Linked DNA regions of Caenorhabditis elegans. The protein of the gene in region 1 purifies or fractionates together with the protein of each later gene. This does not show direct contact. Each region holds a gene or a part of one and is shown in the gene's direction. Other genes may lie near its edges. The genes, in order: pbs-2, rpn-13, rpn-5 and rpn-7.

The links.
Region 2: the proteins of pbs-2 (region 1) and rpn-13 fractionate together in Caenorhabditis elegans (co-fractionation; one large-scale study listed by BioGRID). This does not show direct contact.
Region 3: the proteins of pbs-2 (region 1) and rpn-5 fractionate together in Caenorhabditis elegans (co-fractionation; one large-scale study listed by BioGRID). This does not show direct contact.
Region 4: the proteins of pbs-2 (region 1) and rpn-7 fractionate together in Caenorhabditis elegans (co-fractionation; one large-scale study listed by BioGRID). This does not show direct contact.

Annotation. Positions count from the first base shown.
Region 1 is NC_003279.8:12,966,683-12,970,333, reverse strand, and holds pbs-2 (Proteasome subunit beta), read left to right. Parts: upstream 1-2,053; 5' UTR 2,054-2,054; coding exon 2,055-2,633; intron 2,634-2,691; coding exon 2,692-2,946; 3' UTR 2,947-3,118; downstream 3,119-3,651. Other genes in the region: eif-6 (Eukaryotic translation initiation factor 6), read right to left, coding at 312-671, 945-1,052, 1,102-1,374.
Region 2 is NC_003281.10:6,339,530-6,343,933, reverse strand, and holds rpn-13 (Proteasomal ubiquitin receptor ADRM1 homolog), read left to right. Parts: upstream 1-2,005; 5' UTR 2,006-2,010; coding exon 2,011-2,889; intron 2,890-2,935; coding exon 2,936-3,101; intron 3,102-3,146; coding exon 3,147-3,242; intron 3,243-3,473; coding exon 3,474-3,553; 3' UTR 3,554-3,821; downstream 3,822-4,404. Other genes in the region: C56G2.9 (DUF4604 domain-containing protein), read left to right, coding at 647-685, 763-853, 902-933, 986-1,178, 1,228-1,403; Very-long-chain 3-oxooacyl-coA reductase let-767, read left to right, coding at 3,979-4,024, 4,102-4,257. UniProt on the Caenorhabditis elegans protein: May function as a proteasomal ubiquitin receptor. May promote the deubiquitinating activity associated with the 26S proteasome.
Region 3 is NC_003280.10:4,695,804-4,700,215, reverse strand, and holds rpn-5 (PCI domain-containing protein), read left to right. Parts: upstream 1-1,921; 5' UTR 1,922-1,923; coding exon 1,924-2,013; intron 2,014-2,070; coding exon 2,071-2,256; intron 2,257-2,307; coding exon 2,308-3,015; intron 3,016-3,062; coding exon 3,063-3,239; intron 3,240-3,306; coding exon 3,307-3,618; 3' UTR 3,619-3,795; downstream 3,796-4,412. Other genes in the region: scc-1 (Sister chromatid cohesion protein 1), read right to left, coding at 1-999, 1,048-1,197, 1,244-1,495; F10G7.5 (MFS domain-containing protein), read right to left, coding at 3,935-4,144.
Region 4 is NC_003282.8:9,314,765-9,319,239, forward strand, and holds rpn-7 (26S proteasome non-ATPase regulatory subunit 6), read left to right. Parts: upstream 1-1,874; 5' UTR 1,875-1,878; coding exon 1,879-1,941; intron 1,942-1,986; coding exon 1,987-2,829; intron 2,830-2,879; coding exon 2,880-3,206; 3' UTR 3,207-3,466; coding exon of another isoform or gene 3,467-3,595; 3' UTR 3,596-3,640; coding exon of another isoform or gene 3,641-3,766; 3' UTR 3,767-3,812; downstream 3,813-4,475. Other genes in the region: F49C12.9 (UBA domain-containing protein), read right to left, coding at 206-445, 553-990, 1,038-1,138, 1,205-1,343; nemt-1 (Methyltransferase type 11 domain-containing protein), read right to left, coding at 3,467-3,595, 3,641-3,766, 3,813-3,931, 3,975-4,093, 4,139-4,268, 4,318-4,475. UniProt on the Caenorhabditis elegans protein: Acts as a regulatory subunit of the 26S proteasome which is involved in the ATP-dependent degradation of ubiquitinated proteins.

The DNA of each region.
Region 1 (3,651 bases):
AGATTTCTTTTGGTTCAGGCTACAGGGTTTTGTGTGTAGTTTGTAGTGGAGTCCAACTCACCTAGTAGGTTTAGTTGATGTGTGTTCTTCTGAAATCAAGCGAAAATTAAATTTATAGCGTGTAAAAAGTACTTTTAAAAGTGAAATTCAAGGTATAAATTTGTGAGGATTTGACATCAAAGAAGGAATTAAGAGAGAAAAATTCGAATTTTTCAGGGGTTTTTTCATTGACAACAAAAAACGGGGAAACCAACAACAAAAAAGGTGGGAAAACAATGAATGGTAGATCAAAAAAATAGTGAGAAAAAAGATTAGAGCATGCTCTCAATCAGAGTATCTCTGAGCTGATTGCTGATGCTTGTCGGAGCTCCTTGCTCGCCGAGCTTGAAGATCGATTCGACGACGGACAGTTCGGTAGAAGTGGAGTCGAGTCCACAAAATGCGACCCAATCGTTGACGACCATACCGGCTCCGATGAGCTCGGATCCTCGGTTGCATGTTCCGGCGACGACTGGGATTTGAAGGAGAGCGGCGATTTCTCGTTGGGTCTCTGGTGGAGTACGGGCGGCCACGAGGCAACCGTTAGAGCTGAGAATGCAGTAGCTGCCGACGAGCGAGTTTTGGGCGAGACTGACACGGAATACTTCCACTTTGAGCACTTCGACGAGCGCCTGAAAGAGAAAATTTAGGAATTTTTGTAGTTTGTAGTGTGAACATTGTTAATTTCAGTATGTTAAGCCAAGCATTTGAATCAAAAATTAATAAGAAAGTTATGAAAATTGTCCGTTTCCGACTAAAGTTTGGGTCTTTTTCGAACTTTTGAACAAAAAATAAATATCATTTTCAGAACAATCGAACATTTTTCGACGATTCTTTACTAACTTTCGATTAAAAAAGTGGGAATATCACACTGAAAGTCGCAGTTCTGTAGGATTTCTCCTTACCTGCTCAGTTTCTGCGCTAATTTCTGCGTGAACAATAGCGACGTGGTCGTTACAAGCGATAACATTTCCCAAAGCGGAAAGACGCTCGTCAACTCTGCGAATTGCGACCTGAAAATTCAAATTTTAAATATTTATTCTCAATTTCCTGCCCGCATACCTCATCTGGAAGCGAGTTTCTCAAGTGTTGAAGCTCCTGATCAGTCGTGGCGTTTGGTACGAGAAGTCCGTGACGATTTCCGACTGTAAGTCTTCCGACAATTCTGGTCGAGGCGATCGACGTGTGCACGACTGGGATGAGATCGCTGAGCTCGGCCTCCAAAATACTGTAAAAGTTCTGAGTGCCACCGACGCCGACGAGGCAGTAGCTGTTGGTGAGGGTGCAGAACACACCGACATCGTTCGATCCTTCGTAATCGACGCGGAGAGCCATTTTCAACCGGGAAACTGGAATTTTTTTTGAAAATTAATTGATTTAATATCGAGAAAATAGTAAAAATTGATTGGAAAAACGAGAAAGAATGGGTGTTAGCAAGACAAATACAAACTACAAATGGGCGGAGCTTCGAAATGTTGTGCAATATTGAATAACAGGGAATTTTCATTTTCTATAGGCAGTTTTATATGAAATTACTTAAAAATGAACGAAAAATTCAATTTTTGAATTTTAAAACTCAAAAAGTCAATGAAAAACTTAAGATTAAAAGTTTTAGGCAGAGATTTTCAATTGAAAAATAAAATAAAATTAACGGAAATTTTTTGGTGCAAACACGCTCCACGGAACTCTACAAATTTGCGTTATTTCGGAGTGTCGTTGCGATGACTTTGAAAAATCTTTTTGTCAGCATTCCAACATTTTTCGAAGTTTTCCACCATTTTTCCTGCTTTTCTAGCGTATTTTTGATTAAAAATTTGTAGAAATTAAGTGGAAGTTCGCTATTGAATAGGTTATCTGCAGAAAATCACTTGTGAGACAGCAGAAATCAGGGAAATCGAAGTTTTTCGTTAATCAGTTTTTTCTAGATGGTTTTCCGTATTTTTCCTGTCATTTTTATTGTTTTTTTTTCTCAAAATGTTTTGTGAGATCTTTTCAAATACAACATTAATTCCAGAATGGCCACCGCTGACGTCAAATCCACCGTCCCACACATGGACATGGACCGTGGAGGCGCGTTCGACTTCTCCAACTGCATTCGTAATCAGGCAATGTGCAAGATGGGCGGAAAGGCTCCAAAGCTCACCAGTACCGGAACCACCATCGTCGCCGTTGCCTTCAAGGGCGGACTTGTGATGGGAGCTGATTCCCGTGCCACCGCCGGAAATATCATCGCCGATAAGCATTGCGAGAAGGTTCACAAGCTCACTGAGTCGATCTATGCCTGCGGAGCCGGAACCGCCGCCGATCTCGATCAAGTCACAAAGATGCTCTCTGGAAATCTCCGTCTTCTGGAATTAAACACCGGGCGCAAGGCTCGTGTGATCACCGCTCTTCGTCAAGCTAAGCAGCATCTTTTCAACTATCAAGGATACATCGGAGCCTACTTGCTCATTGGAGGAGTCGATCCAACTGGCCCACATCTTTATATGTGCTCCGCCAACGGAACTACAATGGCCTTCCCATTCACAGCTCAAGGATCTGGATCATATGCAGCTATCACTATTTTGGAGCGTGATTTTAAGGTTGATATGACGGTAAGTAGTCTATTTTTGAATTCCAATGCGCTAAAAATACTATAATTATATTTTTCAGAAAGATGAAGCCGAGAAGCTTGTCCAACGCGCCCTGGAAGCCGGTATGCACGGTGACAACGCCTCAGGAAACAGTTTGAATCTTGTGATCATCGAGCCAAGCGAGACCGTCTTCAAGGGGCCAATTGTGCCAGAATTCTGCAAGCGACCAGAGCCCAACGACCTCGTCTACAAATTCCAGGCCGGAGCCACCAAGGTGCTGAAACACAAGACCTACAAGTACGACGTCGTCGAGTCCATGGATATCACTCACTAAATTGCGGTCTTCTGTCGATGTGTGTATTCTTTCCCCCAATTATTTATTTTTTTTCGATTTTCCATCCGTTTCGGTGTCGTCGGTGATTACTTTTTTCGGTATTTTCGTATCCGCCGGCAGTTCTTATCACATTTGTTTTATAAATTCCGAATATAAACTGTCTATTTTCCTTAAAACTGGTATTGTTTGTTGTCTTAATTTGGACTGAAAGCCGGAAAAATGACTTGAAAAACGCTTTCAAGTGTTTTTCCCAATAGTAAAAGTTACTCTCCGGGTTTTAAAAGGAAAAAACTGCGAAATGAATAGATTTTCCAGATCTGAATTGAAAACTTTCTGCGAAAAACTAATTTCCACCTGAATTCTTCTCAAAAGTCAAGAGAGAAGAGTCAAAACTCACAAGAAAAAAATAATCCGATTTGAATTGCCGCGCAGAGAGTTAGATGTGCAGGTCATATAGCAAACACGCTCCACCCACCAATCATTGGCGCGAAACATTTTTTTGTATCTTGTTCTGACTCATTTCCCTGCCTTCCCCGTCGTAATCAGTGTCGTTTTTCCGAAAAATTCCAAATTTTATCATTATTTTATCAGTTTTCCATAGTTTACCCTCATTCGGCCGTGTTCCGGCCCTTTCAAAAATGTTTGTTTTCACGTAAAATCGAATTTTGAAGACGTGAAGCTTCTTCAAGTTGAAATTCAACATTT
Region 2 (4,404 bases), on another chromosome or scaffold:
TACTGAAATTTTTTCGGGTTATCCCATTCTGCTTTAAAATTTTCTTAATTCAAGTTTGAGAACGGGCTTATTCTTGTGGGTCTTCCCACGATCAATCCAGGAAGAGAATGACAAGAGTCTTCAAAGCCACATTCCATGACCCTAGAAGGACTTAAAAATATAAATATTGAAAAGAACCCAATAGTAATTTTAAACGAGACAGGCTTCTTTCGTATATTTGCATCCTCGTAAAGTCTTTTTTGTTGGACAATTTCTTATTTAAAAAAATCACCAAAATTTTCTGAATGTTTTTCAGACTGAGTAGGACATTATTTTTTAAACTTCTATCATAAATCTCGTGTAGTTTCATGAAAAACTCCCACCCATTTTCCCACTGTCATGAGTCAACGGGAAAGCAAAATTCGAGTACAAATTAGTGTTCTCCATTTAATTTGTGGCGTTCAACACATAACTCGTTCGCCCCTTCATTTTTTCTTCTATTCTTGGTAGTCGCGTATCACTTCTTATTCTGATCAAATAAATTTTTTACAAAAAAATTAGAGCTGAGCATTCAGATTTAATTATTTTTCTCAATATCGTGAGAAAAGGTTTATTCAATTTTGCTTCAGCCACTTGCTACAAACTACACCATCTAACGGCTAACACCATGTTCAGCGAGCATAAGAAGAAGCAGGAAGAAGCAAAGGTTTGTTCTTATCTGTATTCAAAAACGAACCGTTACCCGACAAGGTTACGAATTTCAATCAGAAAAAAATGTTCCAGAGAACCGAGAAGAATGGAGAATTGATCTTCGATGACCTGGATGCAAAAACTCGTGATCTGAAACTATCGGATCAGGCAAAAAACGACAAAAGTGAGTTAAACCGAAGGAAAAGTGTTCATAAAATCATCAATCTATCAGAGTACATGTCGGAGATGGAGACCAAGAACCCGGTAAGTCAATTTTTAATTTGTTGAAAAAATAGTTGATTATCTGAAATTTTAGAAAAGAAAATCTATCAAGAAAAGCGACCAAAAACCGTCAACGATGTCGCTGAATGTAGGAAAGGGTGGTGTGGAGAAAGAGAAGGAAACGATTTCCTCGCAGCGGAGCAATAGTTTGGAATCTCCAGGACTAGGAAGTCCCCAAAATGTTGGTCTCGGGATCTTTGAGGCAGCAACTATGATGCGCAACATCGGTAGATCTTTAAAAAAAAGTCACGTAGACATCTAAAATTACTTTTTAAGTTGACATCACAACCGACTCGACCACTATGAAGACGGGTAAAACGAAAACATTGAAATCAAAGGAAAGCAAGACCTCACTTGGTTCGGCAAGTGGGCCATTCTCTCAGATGAAGGAGGCTCAGGAGATGAAGAAAAAGAGCAAAAACAGCTTTGAACTGGATGATATTGACAACTAAACTAATATGTTTTAATACTCATCGTGTATACCCAGTGAATTTGTTTTAAAAATACTAATACTAATCGGTAATTGGCATTCTCAAATTTTGCAGAGACCGATTTTGTCAAAATAATGTATTGAATAAAGTGGTTTGATTTTTAAGATATTGGGTAAAAAAATAATGAGGCAAATTCGTCTTAAAACGAGCGGAGGACAAGTTAAATACAGAAAAATAGAACACAAAACGTGACAAAATATCGCATGTACGGTGTGCATTCGGAAACAGCGTTTTGTACGCAAGCACTGAACACCACGAGCAAATGCACCACGAGAAAAGTCATCCTTTTTTAGCCAAATTTGGAACAATATTGTTAACAATTGTTTCTTCAATTCGAGTTATCTTTTAAATATTAAAAAAGACATTATATTTTTACTAGTTATTTGAATTTAATTTTTTTTGACGGGAAATAATTTGTTTCTGTCCGACATGTTACTTTCCAAATCAATTATCAATACTTCAGTTTATTTGTGATATTCATTCCTCGTAATTTTGCAAGTTTGTTCTCTATTTTTTCATCTTGGTATTTTCAGCTTCCTTATCAAACATTCATTTATTTATTTCAGAGATGGCTGCTATGTTCAGTAATACTCGCTCGGTCGCTTCCTCTTCTGGCCATATTGTCGAATTCAAAGCTGGACGCTCTCGCCTTGAAGCTGGATCCGGAGATACTATGAGAAAAGTTGTTGCTGAACCCAAAAAGGGATTGGTATTCATTAAGCAAAGTAACGACATGCTCATCCACTTTTGCTGGAAGGATCGTGAAACTGGCGCAGTTGTTGATGACCTCATAATCTTCCCCGATGACGCTGAATTCAAAGCTGTTCCTGGATGCCCTGATGGCAAAGTGTATATGCTCAAGTTCAAATCTGGAGATATGAAGCTTTTTTGGATTCAAGATTCAACACCAGACGTTGACAAGGATCTTGTGAAGAAGGTCACTGACGCTCTGAACAAGCCGCCGACATCTCGTCCAGCTGCTTCCCGATCGGCTGGTTCTAACGCAAACACTGATCGTCAGTCTGCTGGAGGATCACTTATCTCTAGCTCAGACATGAATGCTCCCCTTGGAGGCATCGATCAAGGGCAATTGATGTCATTGATTCAATCTCTGCAAGGCGGAAACTCTGACACTCTTCCAATTTCTTCCGTGCCTCGAGGAGAGGACGCATCGTCAGAAGCAGACTGCGAGCCTTCGACGAATGCAGCTGAGGAAGGATCTTCAAATCCACTTTCCTTGAATAACCCGGCGATTCAACAAATCTTCAACAACTTGGGACGCTCACAAAAGAAAGAGGTGGCAGTCTCTCTGGCAACTGCTCTGTCGAATGAAACGGTTGCTGAAGTTGCTCGTAACCACGCTGAAGAGCTCGCACCGCATCTTCCAACTTCTGATGATCCAGCCCGGGAGCTTTCTGAGACAGTCAGAACTCCGCAATTCAGACAAGTTGGTTTTTAAAGCATATTATATTTTAACTGTTCTCTATTTTCAGGCTGCTGATACACTTGGACATGCACTTCAAACTGGTCAACTCGGGCCAGTAGTTGCACAGTTCGGAATGGATGAAGCCACAGTTGGCTCCGCGAATCAAGGTGATATTCGTGGTTTTGCTGCTAATCTCACAAAGGCTGAGGGAGGAGAAGATGCTGCCAAGACTCGTAAGTTTACTTGAAATTCTGAAACATAGTCTCACGTTCGTTCAGCACGGGTTGATAACCCGATCTGCCGGAGAGCTGTGATGCCGTCCGCTTATCTCGGCTTCTTTTCCCCCTCAATTGCGGCAACGGTGTCTCGGCTAGGTACGGCGCACTCTCAGTTGTTGAGTTTTTACTCATTTTTGAATATGTCACTAATTGTGATTGTCCTTTTGTTTCCTTTCGCACTATGACCATTGCGCCATTCCTTGTAAAATTTTGCTGCTCTTAACACTTAACACCTATCCATTTGCTATTTCAAAAACAATTTTTACAGTACCGTAAACCTCTGTACTTTTGATAAAAACATCAATAACCATTGTTAATTGTTTGCAGAAAACTCGGACGATGACGCCACTCGCGAACCAGAGCCAAAGCGCAACCGTCCAGACAACGAAGATATGGATGTCGATTAAACTCTCTGAATAAACAAATTCTTCATCACTTTTGTGCATATTCCCCCTTAAACTGTGTTCTCCGTGTTCCTCTTTTTCCGACTCGTCCCTTTAGTATTTCTTCATCATGCCAGAAATGGTGTGATAAGATAGTAGAGCGATGTTTATCGACCACTTCTCTTCGCTCTCTTTCATTTATTCGACCTTCAAGACGTCCCCATTTTTATTCCATTTCGAGAACTTATTTATTCATTGTAAAGTACTGCAAATAAACCCTTTTTACCATCAATTTGAAAGTTTCGGAAAGAACTCGTAATAGTAGCGATTAGTTTTATATTTTTCAAAGTTTATTGGAGTGCATGAGTTTCAAAAAAGTAAAAACGTGACCTCATGAAAATTTTTAGTTTTCATATGTTTTCGTCATAAATAAATAGTTACAAGAAATAATGGAGTCGTCTGACAATTTACATGATATAGATAATCTTGAAAACGGTAAATAAATAGTGTATAATTTATGCACCTTGCATCTTTTCTGCCTGTTATTTCCATTGAAATTCTGTAAATTCCAGGTAACATGGCTTGCCAGTGCTTCTTGGTTGGAGCCGGATACGTGGCTCTTGCAGCTGTGGCTTATCGTCTTTTGACGATTTTCTCGAATATTTTGGGCCCATACGTTCTTCTGTCGCCAATCGATTTGAAGAAAAGAGCTGGAGCTTCTTGGGCTGGTTCGTTTCTATATTTTTACTCTGGTGATGTCTTATCGTATAGCACTCAGAGAACTACTTTTGGTTCTCTGGAACTGTTATCATTTTCAATTGATAATAAAATTGCAATGAAAAAATTGTTGCGTAAATATAAAATAATTGTTTTGA
Region 3 (4,412 bases), on another chromosome or scaffold:
TTGTCTGTCATCATCATCATCCATGCGCACATCATTAAAGAATTCATCAACGGCTGGTCCCTGCGCTTGAATATCTTCTTGAATGTCCTCATTGAGGTTCAAGTCCTCCCATGGCTCAGCTTGAGCTTCCATTGACGGAGTGAAACTCGAACTATCGCTCAACTCTTGCATGGTGTAATTGAGATCGAACTCTCGGGTGACCAAACATCTCCTGTATCTTTGAAGGAGTTCTCTGTTGAACATTTTGCATCCAGGTTCACGGCTGAGGTGTTGAAGATCTCCGCTGACGCATAAATTGAACATCTTTCTGGTAGGAGGCGCCATTTCAACTACTCGCATCGTATCGGAGAAGTCTTCTTGTTGCTCTCGGAAAGCGTCGTTTGAAATCATAGTTTCAGCATCGACAATCAGCTTTCTCGCTTTTCTCTGACGTTTTTTCCGTCCTTCCATGTGCTCCACATCTAGAGGCTCCAGGGCAAATGACTCGGGACTTTGTGGTCTCGATGGCTCAACGTTTTCAGGCTCGAACGGTTGATAGTCAAAGTCCATACCATCGTCGTTTTGAACATCTGCGACAGCATGCTCTCTGACGGGATGAATCATTGAGCTGAACATATCAGCAGGCCCAACACCACCATCGTTTTCCAGTGTTTGATTCTCAACCTTCAGGTTCATTTCAGGCATGAAATTTCCGCCTTCCTGATTGTCAAAAATAAGATTTGGACGTGTTGGTCCTTCGGAGAAAATCACACTATCCGCATCTATACGGGAAATTTCCGTTCCATTTGCAGCCACATCACGATCTCGTTCGACTTCCATCAACGATTCTGGCTGAGGAGTGGGGCGCAAAGACAAAGGTTCCACCGATCCGTAGAGATGATCGAGTTGCCAAGATTCTCCTTCGTCACCGAACCCATCGAAATCTGCGTCAATGTTGAACTCGACATTGAAATTGACGGTTTCTTTCATGGTGATGTCTTCACGACGGCTCACATTAGCCTGAAACAGCGATTAAATTGAATGTGAATTGCTTTTAATACAACGCACCATAATGAGCTGCTCATTGTAGTCGGCATCGTGGAACTCGGGCACTGTGATATTGTACTTATCAATGAAGTTTGAGAAATCCTCTTCAATTTCTGCATTCTCTGGAATGTCGACTTCAAAACTGAATCCGTTGCGGAAGTTAATCTTCATCTGAAAATTTACTTTGTTTTTGTCGTTCTAAATTATCTTTAATTACCTTTTGATACGCTTCATTTGTATCAGCCAGAAGATATCGTGTCTTCTTCGAGTAGATTCTCACGATTCCAAGGAGAAGATGTCCAACTGTTCGGAGCGCCATTTTAACCTTGGGGCGAATGACTTCCTCGATCGCTTGGGGAACATCTGTTTCGAAGATTTGCGCCTTTGTCAGCTTTTTTTCCCAGTGAGCTGCCAGCCACACTTTTGCCAACGGTCCCTTTTTGGCGAGAACGAACTGTGCATAGAACATCTGAAAATAGCATGAGATAAACAATAGATTGTTAACGTCAAAGAGATCATAGATTAGAAAATTCCTGAGAAAACATGATAAAAGAGCAAAAACTGGAAGAATAAGTATGTTCAAATGATCACAATGAGAGAAGCAATAGTTTTAAAATGAGGCAAACATTGAAAATGCGGTAAATTTCTGATGATGAAGACAAAACGCTCGAAAAATCGTTTTCAAATATTTTTGTCTTCCTCCTCCTGGGTCTTACCGCGATTTGAGGTACGGTAACACTCGTTTCAGCTGTGCGGATTGTCACTCAAGAAATAATTATTTTCTACTCTCTACCTTTAAAATTTTTGTGCATTTAAAAGTAATATTTTTATAGGTTTTGAAGTTATTTTTCAATTAAAAAAGCAGAACTATATATTCTAATTATTGTTATTCCAGATATGGCCGACAGACGCGAACCGATCCCGGTTGACCCGGTCGATGTCGGAGAACTAAGCGAACTTGACAATTTGGCTCATTTGGCCGCTCATGTAAGTTTTAAAACGTTTTCGAGAATTTATCTGTAGATTTCATTAAATGATTTTCAGGGTGGAGATGGTCGTTTGTTCAAAATGGAGCAGGACTACTCGAAACAAGTCGACGAAGCACTTCTGAAAGCCCGAGATATCGCTCAAAAGGACGCTGTTGCTGCTGTAGAGAGTCTGAACAACATCGAAAAGCTCACTCGTCTTGGAGCTGACATGAAGAGCAATACACGCGTTGTTCAATATATGGTGATAATACTTTTCAAATTAAAAAAAAAATATTAATTCTGATATTTGCAGACGAAGCTTTGTTTCGAAGGGCAGAAATGGGATCTTCTTATGGAAACAATCATGACGCTTTCAAAGAAAAGACTTCTCATCAAAATGGCTATCGCAAAGATGGTCCGTGATGCTGTCGCAATGATTGACAAAATGCCAACCGAGGACCTCAAGATGAAGCTTATTGAAACTCTTCGCACTGTTACAGCTGGAAAGATCTATGTGGAAGTGGAACGTGCTCGCCTCACCTCGATGGTTGTGAAGAAGTTGGAGAGAGAGGGAAAGCTTGACGAAGCTGCAACCATGCTTCTTGAACTTCAAGTGGAAACATATGGCTCCATGGAAATGCGAGAGAAGGTGCAATACCTTCTCGAGCAAATGAGATATTCTCTCGTTCGTAATGATTTTGTGCGAGCCACTATTATCTCTAAGAAAATCAATATCAAGTTCTTCAACAAGTCAGACGAAGATGAAGTACAGAACCTGAAGCTGAAATACTACGATTCGATGATCCGTATCGGACTTCACGATGGAAACTATCTGGACGTGTGCCGTCATCATCGTGAAATTTATGAGACGAAAAAGATTAAAGCTGATTCAGCCAAGGCGACCTCACATCTTCGTTCTGCCATTGTCTACTGTCTTTTGGCTCCGCACACAAACGAGCAATGGGATCTCCTCAACCGAATTGCCATTCAAAGAGAATTGGAAACCGTTCCAGACTACAAGGTAAGCTGTGCGATTTGAATTTAATCTAATTATTGTTTTCTTTTCAGATCATTCTGGATCTTTTCATCAACCAAGAACTCATTTCTTTCAAAGGAACCATTGTCGCAAAGTACGAGAAGCTTTTAAGACGTGGAACAACTAGCTCACCAGACACCGGAATTTTCGACAAATCAACTGAAGGAGAGAAGCGGTGGTCTGATTTGCACCTTCGTGTTGGAGAGCACGTAAGTTAAAATTTTAATAAGTTAAAAACCTGTTAAAATTTATAAATTTTTATTTGTATTTTTACAGAACATGCGTATGATTGCCAAGTACTATACTCAAATCACTTTCGAACGTCTCGCTGAGCTCCTCGACTTCCCAGTTGATGAAATGGAATCATTTGTGTGTAACCTCATTGTTACCGGTCAGATCACCGGAGCAAAACTTCATCGCCCTTCCCGTATTGTCAATCTTCGTTTGAAAAAGGCAAATGTTGAGCAATTGGATGTATGGGCGAGCAACGTGCACAAACTGACGGATACATTGAACAAAGTTTCCCATCTCATTCTGAAAGAGCAAATGGTTCACAAGAACTTGGATCTCGCGGCCCCACGGGCATAAATTTAACCACTTTTTTGTGTATAATTCCGCCATCATGTGTATTTTTCTTATTGATGTTCGCCCTCCCCAATTTCTTCTTTTTCGTGCACCTTCTCCGGTTTTATCATTAATTTATTAATACTGTCGATCGATTTCATCCTTTCACTCTTCGGTTTGATAGTAAACGTATACGTGCTCAATGTGTATTACTAGCTTTTGAAGAAACAATTTTATGGAACAAGTTGTAAGATAGAGGTAACGGGAAACAAATGGATCATCACAGGTTTGAGTTGATTTTCTAGGAAATTGATAAGAAGCTATAACATGAGTGCACCAATTACTGATAAACTTGATATCCATTCTCATCCTCTTCCAAATGTTCTCGTTCAGCAGAAACCAACAACTGAGCTAAATCGGTTTTGTGGACGATAAAAGTGAGGAAAAGTGAGGTCAACATGAAGCATCCACAAACAATGAAAAGATATTCAAATCCGATTTCAGAAAGAGCATGTGTTGAAATGAGTCCAGCGATTAGTCCGGCGACACTCTGAAATGTATTCATGTATTCGCGAATACGGTACCCGGTCTCGAAACGAGAAATTTGTGTTAAAAACAAATAGGTAAGCGCCTTTAAAGTGTACTGTAGTTTCAAACTTTCGCTACTGCGACATTTTCATCGTTTTTCTCACATTTTTTTAAATGTATGTGTTTAAAATGTTTTATTTCATTTATAAAAATTCCGCATCGACGCAAGTTTGAAAGTACAGTACTCTTTAAAGGCGCACATCCCTTTGCATTTAACAAAATTTTGTCGT
Region 4 (4,475 bases), on another chromosome or scaffold:
TAAATAAGCAGAGAAGAGTTTGTAGAAGAGTGATTTAGACGAATAAACGGTGATTTCATTTCACTGCTTTATTTTAAACAGATATGAGATTATTTTAGCCCTATTGACGAATGAATAGGGCAATTTGAATGCATTAAAAACGAATTATGAACACTTATAGACAGAAAAAGTTAATGAGAAGACAGAATAAAACCATTGGTGTAGATTAATTTTGGAGATCAATAAGAAACTCCATAGCCGCTTGCACATCTCCATTCGCCTGTTCGAGAGCCAACTGAATGAGCTCATCATTTTCAAATCCAAACTCGCGGAGAGTCGCAGCTTGTTGTTCATATCCTTGCTGCATTGGCTCTTCTTGCTGCTGTTGCGCTGGCTGGACATTGGCGGGAGCTGGAACCCGATTTGCCGGAGGAACTGCAATGTTTGCCAGGGCTGCTTGGAGAGCCTGAAAAAATTGGCATGGAGAATTTAGTAGAAATATGTATTCAACTATTATTATATTTCAATTATTCTTTTCGAATTATGAGAATCAGTGTGTCCAAGAAATCTTACATTTTGAAGCAACGCATGAGTAACCGGTTGAGCACCTCCAATTGGTCGCTGAGCTGCAAGCATTCCTGGTCTATTTCTTTCCACGTTTGCATAATCAAGGTTTTCGTATCCGTAACGAGATCCTACTGTCGATAGAATATTTTCTACTACTTTCAAGAAATCGGGATTCGTGTACATGAATTGTCCCCGAATTGGATCATCTTTGAAATCGTTCTGAACGCAATAGGCACGGAATAATGACCAATCACTCAGAACAGATAAAAATTGATTATCATGAACCAGCTGTGGGTGTTTCTCAAGAAGCGTTGTCATGTGATCTGGAAGTGCAAAGTCGTGGTTGAAACCATGAAGCCGACGATCATTTGGGCGTGTATATGGGGCGGTACACTCCTTGAGAGCAATACTGATTCGATTTTTTTGCTCTTCTTCGATGTGGTTCTGAAAATCTTAAAATTAATTTGGGTTTCAAACGGAAAAAAACTGACATTTGTTTTAAGCGGTGGAAGCAGCACGACTCTGATTGAATCAGCATCAGTAATCTTTTTTAGGCTCTCTTCATTCAATGCTCTTCCGTTATAAATCAAACCTGAAAAGTGATTGATTCGATAATTGAAGAAATAAATATGATCGATAATTGAAGAAATAAACTTACGGAAACGTTCAACGTTTTTTTGGTCTTTGAATTCGGAAGTACTTTCTGATAAATGCTTGAAGAATTGGATCTGTCCAGTAGAAATTATCTCTTCGATCGGGACTTCACGGCAGGTGGTTTTTAAATGCAATTTAACCATGTTTCTCAATACAACGGGATGGCGGTTGAAAACTGAATGCGAAACAAATGCTCCGTTTCCTGCGTTCAAACGCTAATAACGAGAGCGCTCGATAATGAAAGGATGAATAAAACCGTGCGGCGGAATTGCGAAAGCATGCGCCGCGTATTGCAAACCCTTGTCATCATCCCCGCCCACTTTTATTCGTCCCATTTTGAATTTTTCCCCCAGTTTTCTTGAATTTTGATACGGTTTTGTCTGTTTATGCACTATGAAATAGATATTTTAACGTAGTTTTCACTGTGCCGCTCACTGTAATGTAAAATAAGGCACTATTACGAATTTAAAATAGATATCAACGCTTATTTTCAAAAACTAACAAACTAGACACTAAAATTAATACCAAATCTATATTTCGATAATTACAGCAAATTTAATGAAAACTAACTAAAATGCTATTTCACGTTTGAAATACCATTGAACAGTTTTATTTCCGTTTTGGCCGCTTTTTAACGTTTGCTACAATTTCAAGTGTTCATATTTCATTTTAAGGAGGATGACAGAGGCTGCCAAAAAGAGCACGAAGAAACCCGTAGATGATGGAAACTTCGATAAGGAGGTACGGATCAGTAGTTTTGAAATCATTCAAGTTCAGAGTTTTCAGATCATTTCAAGATGGCCTGATCTTGAGTTATCACAAACCAGATTCATGCTCAATCATCCCGAAGTAGACAGCAGCGTGAAAGAAGCCAAGCTCGAGAAGCTTCAGGAAACTATCAAAGAATTCGACATGGCGCCATTCTACGAGCTTGTCTGCGCTGACTTCAAAATTGTCGTAGATGCAACACAATTGGCTGCAATGAAAGCAGCTAATCAGAAAAAGATCGATGAAATCACCGCAGAAGTTGAAGACGCGGAGAAGAACCTTGGCGAATCTGAAGTGCGTCAGGGATTACTCCGCAAGTTCGAGTACTACTGTCAGATCGGTGACAAAGACAACGCTCTGAAAGCGTACACAGCCACCTATGAGAAGACAGTCGGTATGGGATATCGTATTGATGTAGTTTTCGCCATGATTCGTGTTGGACTTTTCTTCCTCGATCATCATCTCATCAACAAGTTTATCACCAAAGCAAAAGAACTTATGGAGCAAGGAGGAGACTGGGAACGCAAAAATCGCCTTCGATCCTACGAAGCGCTTTACCGAATGTCTGTTCGTGATTTTGCTGGAGCCGCTGATTTGTTCCTTGAAGCTGTGCCAACATTCGGATCATACGAGCTCATGACATATGAAAACTTGATTCTCTACACTGTCATCACCACAACCTTTGCTTTGGACAGACCAGACCTTCGTACCAAGGTTATTCGTTGCAATGAAGTTCAAGAACAGCTGACCGGAGGGGGACTCAATGGAACATTGATTCCAGTTCGTGAGTATCTCGAATCATACTATGATTGTCACTACGATCGTTTCTTCATTCAGTTGGCCGCTCTTGAAAGCGAGAGAGTAAGTTACTAAAACAAATCTTGTATTTTTCACTTATCGTTATATTTCAGTTCAAGTTTGATCGCTATCTATCGCCACACTTCAACTATTACTCTCGTGGAATGCGCCATCGCGCTTACGAACAATTTTTGACTCCTTACAAGACTGTACGTATCGATATGATGGCCAAGGATTTTGGTGTTTCCCGTGCTTTCATCGACCGCGAATTGCACCGTCTGATTGCGACTGGGCAATTGCAATGTCGTATTGATGCTGTTAACGGAGTGATTGAAGTGAATCATCGTGACTCGAAGAATCATCTGTACAAGGCAGTTATCAAGGATGGAGATATATTGCTCAACCGCATTCAGAAGCTTGCCAGAGTTATCAATGCATAACCGAGCCCAGTTCTTCAAACGTGTAAATCCTTTTATTTTACCCTATTCTTCTTCTCCCGTATTATTTCTTTGCGTTAACTCGCTTTGAATCTCCCCACTTCTTCATCATTTCCGGTTGAATGAATTAATTTATTACCATCGCTGTATTTTTAAAACTGTATTCACACTTTCTTGGTCAAATACCAATTGTTTTATTATCTTTAAAATGTTTTTACATGTTATTTAATACCACTTCTTCACTTCTTCACTTCTTCATTTCTTTATTTCTTTATCCACATCGCTGCGATGTAGATCCGCTGTTTATTTTTCAATCGTTCATAAGTTGATGTTCCAGGAGCACAGTACGTTGCTCGCAGCGAGTTTTTGAAGAATTTAACGAAGAAAGGAGCCTAAAATATTTATATACAAATTTTTTAACTTTTGGCCTAGTTTACTTTCTCTAGTAGCCTATCATATTTTCTCGCTGAATATTTTAAGCCCTCAACTACTTCATCAGTGCAAAACTCGAAATGTTTCTTTACAAAACCGGCTGCTGTGGCTGTCTCCTGAATCTGTTTTGCCTGTAATCACTAGCTGTATTTATATAAATTTTACAAGTAGACTAACCTCATGGGGATATCGAATGTCCATGTAGCAGAAGGCACCACCCGATCGCAAAACTCGTGAGCCCTCTTTGAAAAATAGTTTGTAGTCCGAGTAAAGATGAGCTGCTTCCACATTCAAAACTTAATTTCAAGATGTTTTTGGTATTTTTTGATATGATCCTACCAAAATCAAACGAATTATCTGCAAACGGTAAATCTAGTGCATCTCCGTAGACTATGTTATTCATATTTCTAGTGACAACTTTATCACAGCCAATGATGCATTTTGTTGGTCCATGCCACCTGTGTTCCATATTTCTCGTTTTAAAAAAAATGCAAGACACTTACTTTTCTATCCAATCGAGAGAGTACCCTTGACCACAGCTCACTTCAAGAATTTCAAATTGTTCAAAATAAGGATAATTTGGATGCATTGATAATGCTTTTTCATAGAGATAAATATGAGCTCGATCCGACTCTGAACATTTAAATTAACAAGGAAACCTCGATTAGTGTTTTCATTTTACCGTATTCATCTAGGTCACCTAGATCTTCCATGAACATTCTCATTTTTGCGTACTGAGGTGCTGATGATGGCCAGTAGCCCAAATTCATGAAACGAACACCTAACTTTGGTGCTACTATTCTCATTAATGGATACATTATGAATCTATCAAAAAACCAA